4 linked regions of the Drosophila melanogaster genome follow. The protein of the gene in region 2 purifies or fractionates together with the protein of the main gene of each other region. This does not show direct contact. Each region holds a gene or a part of one and is shown on either strand. Other genes may lie near its edges.

Region 1 (4,877 bases), on a different chromosome or scaffold from region 2:
TCGAGATTGTCACTAAACTTAAGACTGGTTCTTCTGCATCCAAATTAGCTGAGTTGTACAAAATATCACGTAAAACTGTGTACAATTTAGTTAAAAAAAAGGACACTGGGAAATTTGGAAAATTAAAAGAAACCTGGCCGAAAAGTTGCATTGAACCCAAGACTGCAGACACATTATTGGAGTTGTACTCAGTAATCCCACCATTAGTCCCGTTTTAATTGCCGCAGCTTCGAAAAATTTAATTGGAAAACATATAGTACACTGCGTCGCAGAATGAAGGAAGTTGACATCAACTCCTATGAAAAACGTCTCTCATTTGCCTTGGAGTATAAAGAGAAGCCTATCGAGTTCTGGTTTGATGTTTTATGGACTGATGAAATTGGGTTTCAGTTTCAGAGATCCTTTAGCAAGAAATTTATGCATTTCCCAAAAAAACTAAAGGTTGAATGCCGTCCAGCTAATCAATCGATTTGGTGGTGGCACGGTGATGTTCTGGGGCTGTTTAAGCTACTTTGGATTTGGAGACATGGTACCGATAGAGGGTACAATAAATCAAACAGGATACCTCCATATCTTAAATGAGCACGCATTCACCTCAGGAAATAGACTGTTCTCCACGAAAAAAAAACGCAAAAAACAATTAAAAAAGCTGTATGTAAATAATTTTGACGCGTAAAAATTGTGTGTAAATACTTTTGACAACAGACAAGGATCAGTTCAATGCTTCTATTTTTAAACCCTAAACAGTTATTTTTTCCACTTCTTCTTTCGTTGGGTAAAAAGCTGTTTTGGCTGCCTAACAATTTTTTAACGAAAATGTATTGACGAATTTAAGGAATTTTAAAGTATATACAGCTTTAAGGGTTTTACGAAAAGTGGTATTGTCTGTCAAGCACTTAAACATAAATAAATGCATACTAGGATTGAGCAGACAGACAAAAAAAAAAACAAAATTTTCATATTAACAAATTCGCCAAAAACATAATTTTTCTCCTGAATATAATTTTTTTAAGTATTGGTTGTTTTTTTCGTTGCCTTTCCTTTACTAGTATTTTTATTTCTTTGCTTCGCCAGTACGCTTATCGTCCACCCTGACCTATTGCTAATTGATAACCACCATATATTTTATAAACACAAATCTAACAAATTTAGGATTTTGTAACGGTATAAATAAGACACCGCCGTTTTATCTTAGAAATTTCATATCTGTTTCAATGAATGGCAACATTAACTCAAAACTTTTAAACAATTCATGTAACGACCGCAAATTGATGCTCGATAAATAACGGAAACAGTTCCTCGCATTTCTTGAGCAATGGGCATGTCACAGTCAAAACTTTCGACTAAAGCTTTCAAAATTGTTCTTAAATATTTAATGTTTGTCATTTCCTTTTTAAGGGAATTCCATTGGACTTGATCTTGAGACAATTCTGACATAACGCAATGTATTGCCCCTGAAAATTATTCAAAATTGATTAGGGAGTACGACTAAAGCTTTTAATTTGAATGGTCTTAATTTGACATATTTCGAGGCAACTCTTAACAAAATCGTTCGATGTAATTATTCTGAAAACCTGTTAACCGTTTACGAATTGTAAACGGTTAATAAATGGTCTTAGATGTGACATTATAAAAAAAGGAGTAAGTTCAGTTTATTACAAAAACTTTAAGAGCGTTTGACAGAGAATGGTTAAGGCATGCGCAATAGATAGAAAAATATTCTCTTACATTTTTCCCGTCTTACCCACACTTGACTTTTTTCTGTATACATAAGCTTTTCAATGGTGTACTAAAAACTAAAGTTCTAAGTGTGTAACTGTCATCCGCGCAAAGCTTACTTGCTGGTAGCTTCATGAAAACGGAGCTAGGCGCAACAAAGAATTTACTAAATTGTACTGTGAATTTCAACGTTTTTTTAATTCTTAGCAGAGCACAAATAATTGTTCGTAGTGGTTTCAAACCGTTTACATTAAGAAAGCCAGATAAAAAAGCTTAGGCCTTTTAGTTAAAAATTGCATATACATAATTTTGTGCACAGAAAGACTATAAAACAGTTTTGTTTTTATAAAAAAGAAAAAAAGCTGGAATCGCTCTTAAGCCCAGATACCAAATAATTAATAAACGCATCCATTTTAGGATCCCCTTTACAGTACATACAAGCATAATTGAAAAACCTACCAATATTAAACCACATTTGGTACTAGTTAATTAATTGCACAAGTTTTTTAGTTGAAGTAAATTTCAAACAGACACATGTGTATTTTGTTACAACTAATATAGGTCATATTTAAAAAGCATTTTTATTTACTTTGAGTGTGCTTAGAAGTGAAATTAAGACCGGGTTTTATCTAAATACGTTTTGAAATACACATACATACATAGTACAAGAACCTAATTTTAATAGTTATGTGTATTTTTTTTGTCGTCAACCACTTAACGCTGTTTAGGTACATATGTATATAACAATTCAGTATTACAGACGAAATTGGCTTTTGAAATAAACGTATGTATTCCACACAGAGCATTAAAACACATTTTAAAAACAAAATTATTTAGGTAAAAACAAAACTAATCCATCGAATAAAACCCTAATTAACGGTATGATGAACACATCTCAGCTGCAAGTGACCGGGGATACGGAAAAAAAAAGTCAGTTGCTTAAAAAGGAACTCAAAATAAACACCCAGGAAAAGCTTATCTTTGCAGAAAATGCCCTCAAAAGCCAGATTAAAATAAAGGAGCAGTTACGACTTCAGCAACAATCAACGATTTATGCGTCGTCACTATTGAGCTCTTCTGCTGCCGGATCAGTAAGAGCTCCGCTCTTAAGCCAGGGGCACCTTAATTCTATCCAACACAACATGGATTTTGACCTTGCCAAAGCACAAATACCGGAAATGCAACCACCGATGAGTAAGTCGCCCAATGGATTGGATTTCTCTTACTTAAGTTATCCAAGCATAAATACTAATGAAAGTATGATATCGATTAAAAGTGAACAACAGTTGTGTCAGAGCTACAATTCGGAGCAACACTCTGACTACATTATCTCCGATTATATGGATAAAATTGCAACAAGGATCAGTTTACTCGAGACAGAGCTGAAGTTTGCTTGGCGTGCATTGGATTTGCTTTCTACGGAGTACGGAAAGATTTGGATTCGTTTGGAAAAGCTTGAAAACATATCAATAGAACAACAGTCTGTCGTTGGCAACCTTGTGGATCTTATCGGCGCATCAAAAAAAGAACTTCAAAAAGTGGATATCGAAAGAATGAAAGTACCCTTATATCAAGATGAAGATCAATTGCTACCGTTGGAAATGGAAGACACATTAGATATAGATATCCAATCATCTAATCGTGACTTTGATAAGAATCTTACTTTTGAAAATCATGAAAAAACTTTTGTAACAAAACATACGCAAGCTACTAAATCGGAAGACCTTATGAATTCCGCTTACGCAATAGATTCCCATCCAAATTTTGAAAACATTGATTTCAATGGCAAAAACTTAGACATTGGGATAATAAAATTTGGTTTTGAAAAAGGCTACGAGCCAAAACAAAAAGGTAATCAATCGGATTTTGAAGCATACAAGGAATCAAGAACTAAACTTTACTCAGATTCTGACCTTATGTTATATGAGAGGCAGCAGTTTCTAGCAAATAGCGCGCGTGCCGAATTAATGAAAGAATTTTTAAATGGACGTCGAGTTTTAAATGAGATTTCGGCATCCTCGGGTGCATTGTCAAAAAGTTCTGAGAAGGATAAAAATCTTGTAAAGCCTAGAGAACCACTGTTAAGTGAGATAGATGATACATACGTGAGACGGTCAACCTGTGAACTTGTCAGCCCTAGTAGTAATAATTTTTTTCAAATAGCAGCCTCTAAAACAGGCGAGGGTGGAAATCAGGTTTTACCCATTGAAGACACTGGAGGAACAGAAAGTCCAGCTAATATTAATGAAGTAGACGAATCTTTTTATAAAAATCTAAACGAGGCTTATCGAGACAATGAATTGAGCTCTGAGATATTTAAGGTTGATGCATTGCTACATCAGTCTGAGGCCACACATGACCACATCTCATTTATCCGAAACCAGTCAACTTCTTCCCCAGTTTTAAATAATCAGAGGGTGAATGCTATTACAGGTACACAACCTTTACAGACTGCAAAGGCGTGTCTCGTAACAGAGCCAAACCAACATTTGAACAAAGAACCAAGAAAGCACAGAAAAAAAAAACATCATACAAACGAAATGGATATGATTAATAAACTAAAGTGTATCCTTGCACAAGCACAATCAACAGAGATTATTAAGAGAGACATTGAAGAATTGGGTTCGAAACTTTCAGATGCATGTGTAAAACAAACTGAAACGGAAAATAAATCAGACAACCATATTAGTACCAGTTATTTAAAAGATGATATACGAAAAATGTTAAACAACGTAATACAGACTTTATTGGGGGAAATAAATAAAATTAAAGGGTTACAATCATTGAGTGCAACGCAATTGAGTCAGTTACAAAATGCCGTATGGTCGGAAGAAAGGTTTTTTCAAAAAATTAGTCTGGTCGATAAAAAGTTGACTTTGCTGTTACTTAATCCGTTAACTGTTACTGAAGAACTGCAAAGGCTTTGCATTTCAAACACAAATGAAAAGTTTGTTCTGGTAATAAAAAAGTTAAAAAAAAATATTGACACTCTAAAAAAATTAGTTGGCAGCTCATTGGATGACTTTAAAATAGATAATTCACACGCAAATATGACCACATTTCACAGCCTTAATCCATCCCATAATTCTAATGATAGCAGTTTTAGTGCACATTTATTAAGAAATAACTCCAATCTGGATGAACAGTTGAAAATTCTT
Region 2 (4,966 bases):
TCAATGAAAAACGCAGAACGGCAGCTCCTATGTGTTTTGTTTAAGACCGGTCCCGGATTGGATGCTTAGTTATGCGTAGATGTATGCGAAACCCATGTATTTTGAACTGTACAAATGGATTTAGCCGTGTGCATAGAGTAGATGAAAAGTGTATTTTTGAGAGGTCAGGCTGCCCTATGGCCACCGAACGAATGGACGAAATAAAGTTGCTACAGTTCCACAGTACATCAGTGGTCTGTTTTTGTTGTTTTACTCTGCTTGTTACAAGGTGGCCCGCTTGCTGTTGGGCAGAGCATCGCCCTCGTCATCGCTGCGATCCGCACGTCGCCGCTTCTTTTGGTGCTCCTCGACCAGCTCCGAGGTGCGAATCTTGTTGCCCGTCATCTGCAGCCATTCGATGTACTGAAATTATGTGATTAATATAACACTCCGTGCCCACTTGACTGGTAGTACAGCCACCCACCTGACTGTTGGTGCGCACTCCAGCCTCGTGCAGCTTGGCCTCGATGTTATCCAGTCGATGCTCCGCCTTGGCTGCCTGTCCGTCGCTCTTCGAGATGTCCAGGAGATGACGTACCCTCTGGCGCAGCGTTTCGAAGATGATGCGGCCGATGACATGGTTGCGATCGTAGGGCGTCAGATAGCGACCGAACTCGTAGAAGTACGGGTGCAGGCGTCCCAGCTCGATGTGCGTGGTCTCCGCCTCGCAGACGGCCTTATGCACATTGCGATAGATATCTGGCACGGCGACGGTGAAGTAGGCATTGTTTACCTTCAGCTCCTTGATGTACCACAACGGCAGATTGACCGTCCTGCCGGGCTCCAGGTCATCCGATTCCGCGCCGGAGTCCAGGAATCCTGCAAGCAACTCAATATTGTCGGATTACTGGCCAGAATGTGCGTGTCCGTCCAAGCCAATCACTTACCCATCCGCTGCAGCTTGGTGTTCACCCGACATTCCACCTTCTCCTGGGTCACGAATATGTCCTCGATGGAGTAATAGTTCGGAAAATAGTTCATTCCGTTCATTGCGCGGCCCAGCTTTATGATTCGTTTGGTGTTTACTTTAGGTAAATTCAATTTCTTAAGTGCGCGACCTATCGCCTATCGATATTAGATGCATTTTGCCGGGGTCTATCGAGGCAGAAACAGCTGTTTGCCTGGATGCCGAGGCACTCGATAGGTTTTATGTACTATATATATCGAAGCATTTATATGTATTATATGTAAATAGTTTTTCCGGAAAATTACTCTTATTTCAGCGCGAATTTTAAATTGCAGCCTGCACTTGACATTTTTTTATACATAAAATTACTAGTCAGGGTATAATTACTCAAAGTTGTAAATGATGTGGAACATGTGAACTCAGCTTAGTAATAGTAATTCGATACGATTGCAATTAGATGGTTACTTCTTCCGCAAGTTCTTAGGCTTATCTGCATCTTTCAAAAACAAATAAAAATAAAGGTTTCGTTCCCGGCAATGACTATTTTGACTTCAATTTCGAACAATTGATCTTAATCTAGCCGTATGATCATCAAGTCGTCGATAAAGTCGCCCATATTAAAAATCATCAATCCACTTGAGATCAAAAATAGCAAAGCCGCGTGCTTCGAGTTTTTCTTGTTGGCGACGAGGAACGGACAGATGGTCGAAAGAGCCATTTCGATTTAGCTATGTGTGTGCAAGGATTAGAGAAATGTGTGTGTAGTTAATATCAGTTAATAACGAAATCATAGGGAGCACACAACTTGTTCGGTCGAGATTTGAGTTCACAGTAAGAAGTTTGAAGGCACGAGCGTTGAAGTGCGAAAAAGGACTTTGACAGTTAACTCCCGCGTTGCTGAGCACTGGCTGGCTTCGTTGCCCATCGGACTATCGATAAAGTCGAACTGTAAAGCCGCCGCCACCAAAAACTTTTTCAGCCTTCCGGCAAACGGTCATACTCAGCTAGCTGTCCGACGAGTTTTGTTATTGGCGGAGAAAAGATTACGCTGGTTTATAAATTCTCAGTTAAGCCGATTTCTCAGCTCCTCTCCCCCTGCAGAGATCTAACACATCTATATAGATATATATATTTTATATATTCCTTGATCGATTTGCGATCCCGAAAGTCGATCAGCCGTGCGTCTATATATTTTTTTTTCTGTTCTTGCCCCTCGTGCAACATCAGTGAACATCAGCGGCCCACCGTACAAAATCTCAATAAGAAAAAAAGAGAGCATAAAGTGAAATTGCCTTTTGCGGCAAGTAAGAAAACGACCAAAAAAGAGAAAAGAATATAACGACTATTTGAATTAAACAAAGTTTATTGTTTACAATAGCATACAATACAAGTTTATAAGCTAACGGGCGTCGCTGTGCGTGTGTGTGTGCTTGTGTGTGCGTGCGTGTAGTTGTTGCGCCAAAAATTCCAATCGGAATTCTGGAACAGCTGGCCACAACAACAAAACGCGGCCAATAGAAGAACAATTTAGCTGCTGAAAAATGGGCGACTTCGATCTGAATGTGGACAGCTTGATACAGCGGCTGCTGGAGAGTAAGTAGATGCGAAATTTCCCCCTCTTTCAATCCTACTTTCCCAAAACCTCCCCCCCAAACCCTCTACGCCCCTCCCACGCCACTGTCCCCATTTTAATTTATTACACAGTTTATCTGCGTGTGTGTGTGTGTGCGATTGCATTTTCTAATTATTGCACATTGTTCGCTTAAATGGTAGTAGGTTTTCTTTTTGTTGTTGCGACAGCCCCTCTCTCTACCGCCGCCGCCGCCACCGCTGCTGCCGCTGCAACCGTTTGAATTTGACTCTTGAATCAATTAGTTTTAATTGATTTTCATTGCTCCTCTTGAAAAACAGCAAAAACCATAAAAACAACAACAACAACAGCGACAGCATCTACGCTACGCTCATTAGCGTTTACATAATACTAACAGTGATCGCGCTGTTAAGCACGCCATCTCTGTCCTGCGCTAATGTCTCCCAAATGATTTTTGGTTTATTAGCTGTGTTTTTTCTTGTTTCGCCTATATTGGCAATGACGTCATCGAGCTGATAAACACGGGCGTGATTCAAACAGAATGTGTAGCTATGAAATCGCCGACGAAGGAATGGAACGGAATCACATGAGTTACTCGATAAGGAGCTTTGTCGCAAGTAACCCCACTGCCCGTTGGAGTGGGATCGCTGTTCGTGTCACGCAACTATCGCTAAAGACGGTTGAGAAATCTACGACCGATATATCCTATATTTCCTAGCCCCCAAGAAGATATTTTTATCCAGCGATCAATATCAATATAATTTTTACTGGGTATCGACCGCTATAGCCGATATCCACTGTATGTGGCTTAGAATGGGTGGTGGGGGCTGTGTCATCGTCGTCATCATGCAACCTTCCTGCAAAGCGTAAAAGCGCTAAATAGTTTACATTTTTGCAACCTCTTCTAGGTTTCGAATGCGATATGCCTTTGCCCTGGTGAAAACCCAACATCTGCGAGGGTTGCTTAAGCCGCTTAGTGCTTGTCTCGTTTTGCAAGTGTCAGCCAATGTCGAAGATACGGCATGGGACGGGATGGGCTTTTCCGCTTTTCCGGGGGGCGGGCCGCCGCCACCATTTGGCTTTAGCTCTGACCGACGCCACGGGGAAATTGCATTTGAACATTGCGATTTTCGGTTTTTGTCCATTTCCGCAATGAGTTTCGCTTTTCTTCCTCCGATTCTGTCTTTCGGTTTCACTTATTTCTTGCGCTGATATGACACGACCCAACTACAGTGGTCATTCGACGGAAGAACACAGCGGAAAAGGAAAACGGAGAAGAATCTTTTCAGATATCGGTTATGTTTCTACGTTATGAAGTATGTAAATATATCATAGAAAGTATATTTCCTTACTTACCGTGTTAGCTACCGAGTGATCACTGTAAACCACTCTCAGCTGCCAAAGCAGATGGGCGATGGGCAAAAGGGGCAGATTGAGCGAGATGGTCGAGGTAGGCCACAACCATTTGTCAAGGTCATCGAGTGGGCTAGGTCATGGCACTACGCCCACCACCCCATCCCCCGAAAAATGCCATTAATTTTGATCTATGAAGCGTCGTCAGCCTCTGTCACCGGCAGCAAAAAAAAAAAAAGAAAATAAAATGGCAAAAGCAGCGGCGGCGGCAGATAAATTTCATTTGTCAAATTGCAAATTGAAATTGAATTTTTAGGGCACTTAGCCGGGCTGTCGTGTTTTCTGGCTCTCGCTTTTCCGAGAAATATGGAAATTTCGCCCTCCTTTTGTGTTCTTTTATGCTTTTTTCCCGCAAGCCCACTCCACCTATCCCACACCCCTTAGTTTTAATAGATCTCTCTCTCTATATATATATATATATGTGTACGTATATATGAATATATATGTATATGTGCATCCATTCGAAAGACTTTAAAAAACAAAAAGAGGCCGAAGAGCACGCCCAGAAGCTGCTAATCGCTCAACAATTGGCCGCCGCCGGCGGAGCATCCGGCGCATCTGCCACATCGCCCACATCCAGCAGCAATTACTCGTCGATGGCGGCGGTGGCCTCCTTTGGATCCGGATACGGATCGGGATCTGGTGCTGGTGCTCCTGGTGCCGGCGCTGGCCCAGGATCCAGCCATGATCCGCTCGACGATCTCACCGAACAGCAGCGCCGTCTGCTCCAGCAATACTCGATATCGCCGCCCAGCGAGACGATGATATCGGCCGATGGCGACCAGATCACCGTCCATCATCCGCGCGAGGAGCCCAAGAAATCCAGATTGAAACTGCGCGATTTTTTCGTCGCCGAGTTTGGTATTACCACTTTCAATCTAAGAACAACCTCCCCTATTGATCACTTTGTCGATGTTTGATGATCATCCATAAGTCCAGTGCAAAAGTAAAAGCCATACTGCAGTGGTCACCATGACCATGAGACTTCATACTCTAAGTAGCGTGCTGTCCTCTAT
Region 3 (4,203 bases), on a different chromosome or scaffold from region 2:
TTGGGGGCGGGGCAACAAACACACACCACTGGCGTCCCACTCGATACACATATACAGTTGCTTACGCTTTGTTCGCTGTAACGAAAGCAGCAACAAAGCAACCAAAAGCAGAACCATTTACATACACACACACACATCGATACTCTATTGCTTACAAAGCAAAAATCTTAGAATGCTTCTATTTAGCAGATGATGTCACTTACCTATTCTGGTTTTGAAGCCAAAATGTGCGGCACACTTTAAACTTGATAATTACAATGGGTTTTCCCCAGTTACACGGTTTATTCCGTGGTTTTGAAACGATTTTTTGGGAGCGACGAGCAGGTCGCAGGTGTAGATGAAGACTATTTACCATTCGCTTTTGCTCCGCTATTCTACACACAGGGTTGCATTGCGCTGGCGACCAGTGTTGCAGGTGGCACGTCGATTTGGCGGGAAAGTGGCGGGCATTTCGAAAATCAAATTTTTGTAAATAAATATTAAATATTATATTACCTATTTACATTCTTTATTTTCCAAAATAATTCAATAAAACAAAGAAAACGATCAATGTAATTGCTCTTTTCTTTTTTACAGGCAGTGCCTACATCTTTATTGCAACACGAAAGCAAACAACGCTTGCAACATTCACATATCCTCCACGCTGTACTTGTAGGCCTCATCCTGCACGGCCCGCCGTTCGTTCTGTTTGTCGAACCAACGCTGCTCGTAGCCGTTGGATCGATCGACGCCATCCCAGCGATATCCTGGTCGGATGCCAAATCGGTTCTCCGGAAAGCTGCCCTCGTACTTGGGCATCACCGGCTTGTTGTCCTGCTGGTCGCGTTTCTTGCGCTTCTGGCGCATGTACTCCAGCATCGGGTCGTCGGCGTGCTCCTGTTCGCGCAGATGCCTGTCCAGATCCTCGTCGTTGGCATAGCGAGCCACCGGTTTGGAGGCCTCATGGACCATCTCCTCCAGGCGGGACTTGTGATCTTCTATTTGCTTCAACCCCTTGCCCCAGCGATCGTACAGTTCCTTCTTCTTTTTCTCGTGCTCCTCTTTGCGGCCCTGCTCGGCGGGATCCTCATTGGCGGCATCTCGTGCTCGGTGTCCCTTTCTGCGAGTACTGCGCACCTGCACATCGCCATCACGACCGGAAATTTCGCTGGACATTTTCTCGAATAGTTCATGTTCTTGTCGACGCCTTTCGTCGGTTTCCTTCTTCAGCGATTTCGCATCCTGCAGTCCAGCTTTCTTGCCATCTAGTGTCTTGGTGGATTTCGGCTTGTGTGTCGGAGGTGGAGATGCTGATTTGCTGGGCGATGCCTTGGCCCAGCGACTTTTCCTTTCTTCCTTGAAGCGATTACGAGGCGGTGGACTGCGCTCTCGACTTCTGTGATTTCTGGCCGGGCTTTGGTCGGAGTCGTGACGTCTGCGTGGTGATTTGTCTCGTTTTCTGGTTGGACTTTGGTCGAAGTCTCGTTTTCTTCGCGGTGGCGATTGATCTACATCCTTGGGTCTTCTTGGCGGGCTTTGATCGGAGTTTCTTCTCCTCCTTGGCGGCGTTTGCTTGTCATCTCTGCGTCTTCGGGGCGGGCTTTGATCTGAATCCCGCCTCCTTCGCACTGGAGACTGGTCATTGTCTCTCCGTTTCCTAGGCGGACTTTGGTCGGAGTCTTTCCTTTCCCTTCGCACCGGAGATTGATCGTCTGCTTTACGCCTTCGAGGTGGGCTTTGATCGGAATCTTTCCTCCTTCTGGGCGGAGTTGAATCCTTGTCTCTACGTCGCCTTGGCGGACTCTGATCGGAGTTACTTCTGCGGCGTCTGGGTGGCGATTGATCGGAATCCCTTCTCCTTCGAGTGGGTGATGCTTTTCCCGTTCGTTTTCTTGGCGGACTTTGGTCGGAATCCCGCCTTTTTCTGACTGGCGATTGATTGCCATTCCTGGCCTTTCGGGGTGGACTCTGATCGGAATCCCTGTGCTTTTGGCGTGGCGGAGACTGATCGCCATCTCGCCCTCGTCTGGTGGGACTCTGATCTGAGCTTCCCGCCCTTCTTCGCCCCCTTTGAGGACTCTCTTCTCGCTTTGCTGGCTTACTCGATCTCGCTGGGCTTAAATCCCTAGAGCTGCTGCGTTTTTCTTGCTTAATTCTGACGGGTGAACTTCGTCTGGATGGTGAGAATTCATCCTTAACCTTAACAACTGTCGCCTTGCGTCCCCACATCTCCTGCTCCTCATCCAAGGGCTCCTGTTTGATGCGAATGCCAGTTGCTGGCGAGGATTCCTCGTGCTCTTCTTTGATTTCATCCTTGACGGCAATGTTGCGCCACTTGCTGCGCACATTGGGATCCTCTTCGATGTACTCGCCCACAATTTGAGGCGCATCCTCGCCGCCCAGCAGTAGATCTTCGTCCATTTCCAGATTATCATTTTCGTAGGCGTCGTCATCGATGATTTTCACTTTGGTGTTGGCCGAATTCTTTTTGTGCTTCTTCTCCTTCTTTTTCTTCTTCTTCTCCTTGTCGCCGGATAGGTACTTCTTGAGGTACTCCTTCTGGTCGATGACTTTGGCCTTTTGCATGGACATTTTTGTGCAATAAAAGCGGGAAATTGTAATTTACAATGAATTGTTTACGTTTTTTATGTGCTCAATGTTACCGTTCATAGTATGTGTCGAAATGCCACGCACTGCTTGAGTGCTGTTAGGCTGCGCTTAACAGCACGCAGTTAACAATGTGCAGCAGTCTGGCAACGCCAGCGTGTATGCACTTGTCATTTAATTAATTATATAAACTAAGCTTGTTTTTCATTACATTCTTCAATATGATAGCATATATTATTATGTAGATTTGATTTCTTGCCATTTATTGATCATTACATTCTTAAAACGTAATATTGCGCTTCAAATTTTTAAATCAATTATTCTGCGCGCCATAGTGACTAACTGTTAACCAAAAGCATTCGATAAGGCAGTTATGTTATGGAATTAAGGTAAATATTTACACTTGGAAGTTTTCAATGCACCTAATTGCCTGAATAAAACTGCTGCTCATCAATAGACGAGTGCACTCTGCTTACCAATTTGCCCAAATTCATGCGATTATTTTTGCGGCCATTCGCCTGCGCATCACTAACTTCGAGGCGCACTGACAAGTCAACAAATTCCTGGTGAAGCCTTCAAACTCGCCACAGCGTGTTTTCCGCTGAGAGAAATTTCGCAGGAAACGCATAGAAAAGAAAATTTCGTAAAAATTTGTGAATTCCAAAGCCCATTTACATTTAACTTTCGTTATGTGATCGAAGAAGAGAAAAGTTGCACCTAATTATCGTGTTGCATGGGCGTTGTTAATTGGGCCGCCGGCCTTATTTTGCTGGCGGCGGCGTTATCGGCGGCGGATTAACTTCGGGTGAATGTTTCTGTTTCCTAGAAAACGTAAGTACTAAGCAGCCGAATAAGCGGCTTAAATGCGCTTAAATGGCGGATTAAATCGAGCCACGGCAATTATTTGTCTTACTTCCTGAAAACTCTGAAGTGGCGCGTTCTCTTCAGGAGACTAAGTGGAAAGTCCTCGAGGGCTCTTACTGCAGCCTTTTTGTGTGGAATCGGCATAGGGAATCGGCATTGGCATCACATGGCTGCCAGGATGTTGCATTTTGTGCGGCAGGGGGGCAGTGGGTCTGATGGGGAAGGGGTAGGGGGCACTAAGTGACGAGGGGTGTTTAAGTGACGAATGAAATGAAGCGCAAAAACAAAGAGCACGCAGCAACAATGCCCGAGACGAACAACAATTGGCAGGAAAAGCGTTGGGGAAAGTCAAAAAGGGCTGTGGAGGAGCGAAGCGGGGGGGGCGGGGCGGTGGTGTTGGTAAGCAAAGGGTCGGGGGCACCCACATATTCACATTTTGAGTGCAAGAACGCGCGAATGGCATGCAAATTAATTCGCTTAACTGAGCTTTTAAAGCGCTCTTATTATATTCCGTTGTTTTGGTTGCGTTCTCTCCATTACCCCTTTTTCTGCATTGTTCGCATTTCTTTTTGCCCAGTTTTTTGCGCTCGCATTCATGAAATTTAAAGCCCACGGCGTGCTTAACCTCCTTACCCTCCCCCTGCCATCTTCATTATCTCTCGCTCTGACGCACTCGCTCTTACGCGCGTCTCCTTCTCGCTCTCGCTGCTTTGTCTGCCGCGCTCTACTTCTGCCATCTCTGTTTCTGTTTTG
Region 4 (5,025 bases), on a different chromosome or scaffold from region 2:
ATAAACATACCTTTGAATGGAATTCAGTTGGGGATTTCCAAGGGGATTGAGTCCTTTGGCGTTGATTCACTCCTCAAGGAATTTCCGCAGTTGACTTAACTTCTTAGATTCGCATTAAAAATAAGCCACATCCCTTCATTAAATCAAAGCGAAATATCAATTCCCACTCAACTGTTGTTATTGGAAAGCGATAGGCGAAGAGGAGACCCAAAAAATAGGTAGAGTACCACGGGGTCCAGATAATTCCTGCGGACAAGCAAAGCGGCAAAAATGACTGACAGCCACCGAGCTAGACAAAGAGTAATGTGAGAAAAGTCGGAAAAATGTGGAGCAATTGAGGATGATTTAATTATGCAAAAGCAGCGTGGACAGCAGACGTGAGTCCAGCGTGAACGGTCCTTTGCGCATCGTTTGCGAATAGAAAGGACACGGCCAGGACACAGATCATTAATCATTTATGCACAGTGTGAATATACGTGTTTGCGTCTGTCTGGACTCCTTATTAATTGGAAACGTTTCATTCACGCAAATCAGTTGCACGAAAAAAAAAAACAAACAAAATATCACACTAATGAGTTTCGTTCCTGGAATATTTTATTAAAACTAAATAAATGTTGAATACATAAGAAATAATGAAATTTTAATCACTTGCAACTCAGAATTCAAAAGCACTCGCAATAGTTTATTATCTGCAAGGCAATTGTACAATTGTTTGTACAGAGCTATTTCGAATCATAATTAAAAGGGTTGCAATTCAATATTGAGACTTAAGTGTGTAATTTGTTTTGAATTGTATACATATGATGATGATACATGGACATAAATAATAGGCTTGTAGTCTAAAAGCCCTTAATTTTCTTTGCCAGTCGTCAGATCTAAGTGCTGTTTTAAGCCAGCTCAGACGTTGATTTGAGCCCATTTGCATTTCATCAGTTATCCGTCAGCAGCCAGATAACAATTATCCCATAGCCAGTTATAATTCCTCACTGCGTTCCAGAGCAATTTGTTCGACTGATTGCCGCGGAAACAAAAGGAGGCTGACAACTGTCAACATCTCGGGACATTGTGGGACGAATGTTGCTGCGGTTTTCGACCATTATGGGGATTAATTGAGGCATTGTCTGCGGGTTGGTCGGATTCCCTTGCCATCTGGAGCTTGGGGCATATGTCAATGACGTCAGCGTTTTCTGCAATGATTTTCTGGGAAATTACACACCACCACCACCACCAAGAGTGTGCGCTAATTAACTGCGAGCGAAGAGGGAAATGTGCCAACTGGCAGCCGGAATCGGTTAATTAATCTCTTTACCGGTAGGCAGCGAAACCGAAACCGTTTCAGCGTTTTGGTGGCATTTCCTCTGCTTCTTGGCGGAAAAGGAAAATGTGTGTCAGGGCTGGAATGCTTAGGGGCGAGAGGATGGCAAAAAGTGTCCTTGGACAACATTCGCATGCAAAACATTTTCGAAAATGCGAGGCGACAGCAAGGCAAACATAGCCGCAACATCGCTGATATCCTTCTTGGCACTATGAACTTATTTCTTGCTTTTTATGACGGCTGTTCCCCGAGAAACTTTTCAATTTTGACAGAAAATAACGGAAGGCGAAGGATAAATCTTTCTGGGCTGGAAGGGATTTCTGTTTGTTCCGTGAAATAATAAGAACGTGTGAGCAACTCAAAGAGATTTCAGCTGAATTCAATTTTACTTGGCGTAACAAAATAAAAAAGACCACGACGACAGAGAGAAAAACAAACAAAACGTCAACAAGGACGTGGCAGCCAACCAGCAAGTGCCAGGATTCAGTGCCACATGGTTTTCGGATTGTGAGGAGGTGTCTGCTGGGATAACATTTTAATAAAAATAAATTCAATCAACACATTTGTTTGCTGAGTTTCGATTCCAAGAGTCAGCCCGCGGCTACCAGATTTGGCATATTAATAATATTTACTTGAAGCAGCAGTTGGAATAAAAACGGGAAACAAATACTTGGGCTATATATTTGAGTGCATTGTTTAAATGGATGTCAGTGTGTGGGCTTTGTTTTATATATTATTAATAAAAATGGAATGTATCTTCAAAGTTCTATCTAGTTTCACATCAAATTAATCGAAGCAGATCTCGAGGCTTGATTTAGGAAGGACACTAAGCTAGAAAGCCACTTGACTTCATTTTATTTTTAACTTTTTAAGTTTGACCTTCAAGCCCAACACACATTCACAAAAAACATTCCTTTGGATAGCAATCGCGATTTATGGTTAGTGCCTTCACCTGCAACGTCCCACCACGTTTACCATTACTATTATGGCTTTCTGCGAATGTCGTCGGGGTCGACTTCCTGGCTTCCTTGCCAATTACAAATGTCACCTTACACATAAACACATTGTTGTGCAATCAAACAGACCGTAAATAACAGAAACCATCCGAATTTACGAGGCACCCAGTCTGGGGCAGTTGGCCGCGGAGGGTGTTTCTGCACTTCCGTTGCATGTCCGTCTTCGTTCGCCTTTATTACATCCGGTTCGGGGGGAGTGAAAGGTGAAAGAGGAAAAGGTCGAACATGGCCACGAAGTGCGGCAAGTGAATCCACATCCGCACCACAGATGGTGGTCATGGACTCTTTGTCATTACCACATAGCTGGAACATTAAAAACGCATTTCCAGTGAATGGTCAATTTTGCGATCCGCCCAAACAAATGTCAGAGTCGTGGGCTGTCCGGTGAAAGCTTTTCCGACCACTTTTCCTGCCTGTTATTTGATTTCTCCTCCCGCTCTGCAATCAATTTTATTGATTTGAATTCGCATTTGATTGCATTTCAATTCGATCGGATTTCACTTTCTTTAATTGCGTTGCGTTTCAAATTTAATTTACCAACGCATAAACACACTCCCGTTCATGCAGATACATACACTCGCACTTTACCCAAAAACACAATTGAATAATGATAATTTCACACGTACTTTTCGGGGCGAATAGCCGGCGTCCATTTTCTACGCCGACTTGTGCGGAACTGACCAACTGTGTATATAGAGAGGGGCCCATGGCGAGATTTGTTTATTCGCTTGCCACATTATCTAGTTTTCCATGCCGTTGTTTGCCTTTCCTGCCACTCGGCCGCTTTTCTTTGCCATTACCATTGCCATTGCCGTTTGGCTGATCTGCGGAAATGGGAAAATGCGAGAGATGAGCCGAAAGAAATGGCAAATGGGCGAGAACTAAATCTAAGGGAAACAGTTCGCACCACATCTGCGATGCATTTAAAAATTCAATGAAATGACACAAAATGTTATCAGTATTCCAGAATTCTTGTGTTATATTGACTGTTAACAGCAATGGTGGTATTGTAAAATTTAAAAATATACCCTTACGTTGTCCAACCTTCTCAGCCTAAGTTTGAATAAAAAGAAAATGCATTGAAGGAGTCAAACTAAAATTAAAAGTAGGCAATTAGCTGGCTTAGCTTGAAACTACTACTCGAATAAATACCCTGACGTGTAAGTGGCTACAATTAGTCCTTCCGTAATTCCCCTCCCCAGTGTCGCATTACATTTTGCTTCAATTAAGTTTGGGTAATGCCATTCCATTGACACTCAACCAACCCAAATGGAAGTTGAGCGTAATGGCTTAATTAATATTATTAACGAACAGCTCTTGCTGTTCGCCAATGACCTTCTAATTAATGTTTTCGCAAGCGATAATCATAATAGCCTAGAGAGCCACGCCCCACGCTTACCGCCCATTCGCACGCATCAAATTGAGCGACAACGAATTCTAAGCAAAACTTTCACCGTGCCGCCAAATTATGAGTTTACACGCAACAACGAGGAAATGTGTGCGTGGGACCTTGAAAGTTTTCACTTGGCACCATATTTTCCCATCGCATCCACCCCGAGAGTGGGTGCGGTTTTCATGCACAGAGATTAACATCGCAATAAAAAAAATAGTGAAGATTATAATCATATTATTAAGTTATAAAAGAGTGAGCTAAACTATCAACAGATAGCTAATATTTGACAACGAATGATCAATAGCTATTTAGAGGAAGAAGAAAAAGTGGACAAAATAATTTTCCTCTTTGGTGCACACATTTCGCTCAGTGTGCCATCAGCGAAAGGGCACGACTTCTAGGAAAAACTTGATTTGACTGGCGTCGAGACAAATCACGTTGACTAGCTCAACATGACAGCTGCCCCAGGACCCAGGACCTGCTCCTCTGACCCTCAATCCTTGGATGCCGCCAAGGCAAAACGATGATAAATGAACCCGCTGAAAGTGACACTGATTTTTGGTCAGCTGCAGTTGATTTCCAGTCGAAGCGTGCACACGTTGCGTATGAGTAATGTCCTTGTTGTCAGCATTTATCTCAGCACTCTCCGCACTTTGCTAACCCTCATTTGATTTCCTCACCGCATGTGGGTGTCGCATTATTGACAATTTTATTAGGCCATTTTTGTTTGCCTGTTTATAATGCCGCCCGCATAAAGTAAACTCGTTAATTTCATAACATATGCCAACACATTTGGTTTTTGGCGGTATGGGGCACTCGTATATGACTGTTTGTTGATGGGACGTTGACAGAATTCATGTGCGGCATAAAAACGACATCAGAGCCTGGGGAATAAAATTCGAGTATTGGCCTGCAATCCTCAATCGTTTGTCATCAATTCAGATTACCTCATTTGGTACTGTGGAATGCGAAATTGCTAATTCGGTTCTATTGAAAATAAATAATACAAAAATGAGGTCGACTATGGGGGATAATGTTTAAGTACTTCATATATACATGGAAGATCTTAGTAAGGCCTAATCAACTAGAAAGTAACTTAAGTTCGAGCAATGGAACTTAATCGCTACAAATTTCTAGCGGGAATTACCATTTGAACTTCCAAACATTTACACGCATTACACTCCCCTAACTTTCCTTACCGATTTACTGCAATTCCATTCCTATTTCTGTATAATTTAGCCGTTTTCGGTTTTTTTTGAGAGTGAAAAATCTATTTATGCAATGCACGCAAGTGGCACTAT

The links.
Region 1: the proteins of flw (region 2) and unc-13 purify together in Drosophila melanogaster (affinity purification with mass spectrometry, with the first as the bait; 2 studies listed by BioGRID). This does not show direct contact.
Region 3: the proteins of flw (region 2) and CG13625 purify together in Drosophila melanogaster (affinity purification with mass spectrometry, with the first as the bait; 2 studies listed by BioGRID). This does not show direct contact.
Region 4: the proteins of flw (region 2) and Myo28B1 purify together in Drosophila melanogaster (affinity purification with mass spectrometry, with the first as the bait; 2 studies listed by BioGRID). This does not show direct contact.

What each region holds. Positions count from the first base shown.
Region 1 is NC_004353.4:890,520-895,396, reverse strand, and holds the start of unc-13 (unc-13), read left to right. Parts: upstream 1-1,831; 5' UTR 1,832-1,892; intron 1,893-2,447; 5' UTR 2,448-2,503; intron 2,504-2,556; 5' UTR 2,557-2,600; coding exon 2,601-4,877.
Region 2 is NC_004354.4:10,384,025-10,388,990, forward strand, and holds the start of flw (flapwing), read left to right. Parts: upstream 1-1,935; 5' UTR 1,936-2,487; coding exon 2,488-2,539; intron 2,540-4,418; coding exon 4,419-4,811; intron 4,812-4,966. Other genes in the region: Psf3 (partner of Sld five 3), read right to left, coding at 262-402, 464-858, 927-1,029. UniProt on the Drosophila melanogaster protein: Required for cell adhesion in non-muscle tissues and in maintenance of muscle attachment. Vital for larval development.
Region 3 is NT_033777.3:24,582,510-24,586,712, forward strand, and holds CG13625 (uncharacterized protein), read right to left. Parts: upstream 2,652-4,203; 5' UTR 2,572-2,651; coding exon 628-2,571; 3' UTR 558-627; downstream 1-557.
Region 4 is NT_033779.5:7,664,036-7,669,060, reverse strand, and holds the start of Myo28B1 (myosin 28B1), read right to left. Parts: upstream 3,015-5,025; 5' UTR 2,985-3,014; coding exon 2,958-2,984; intron 1-2,957.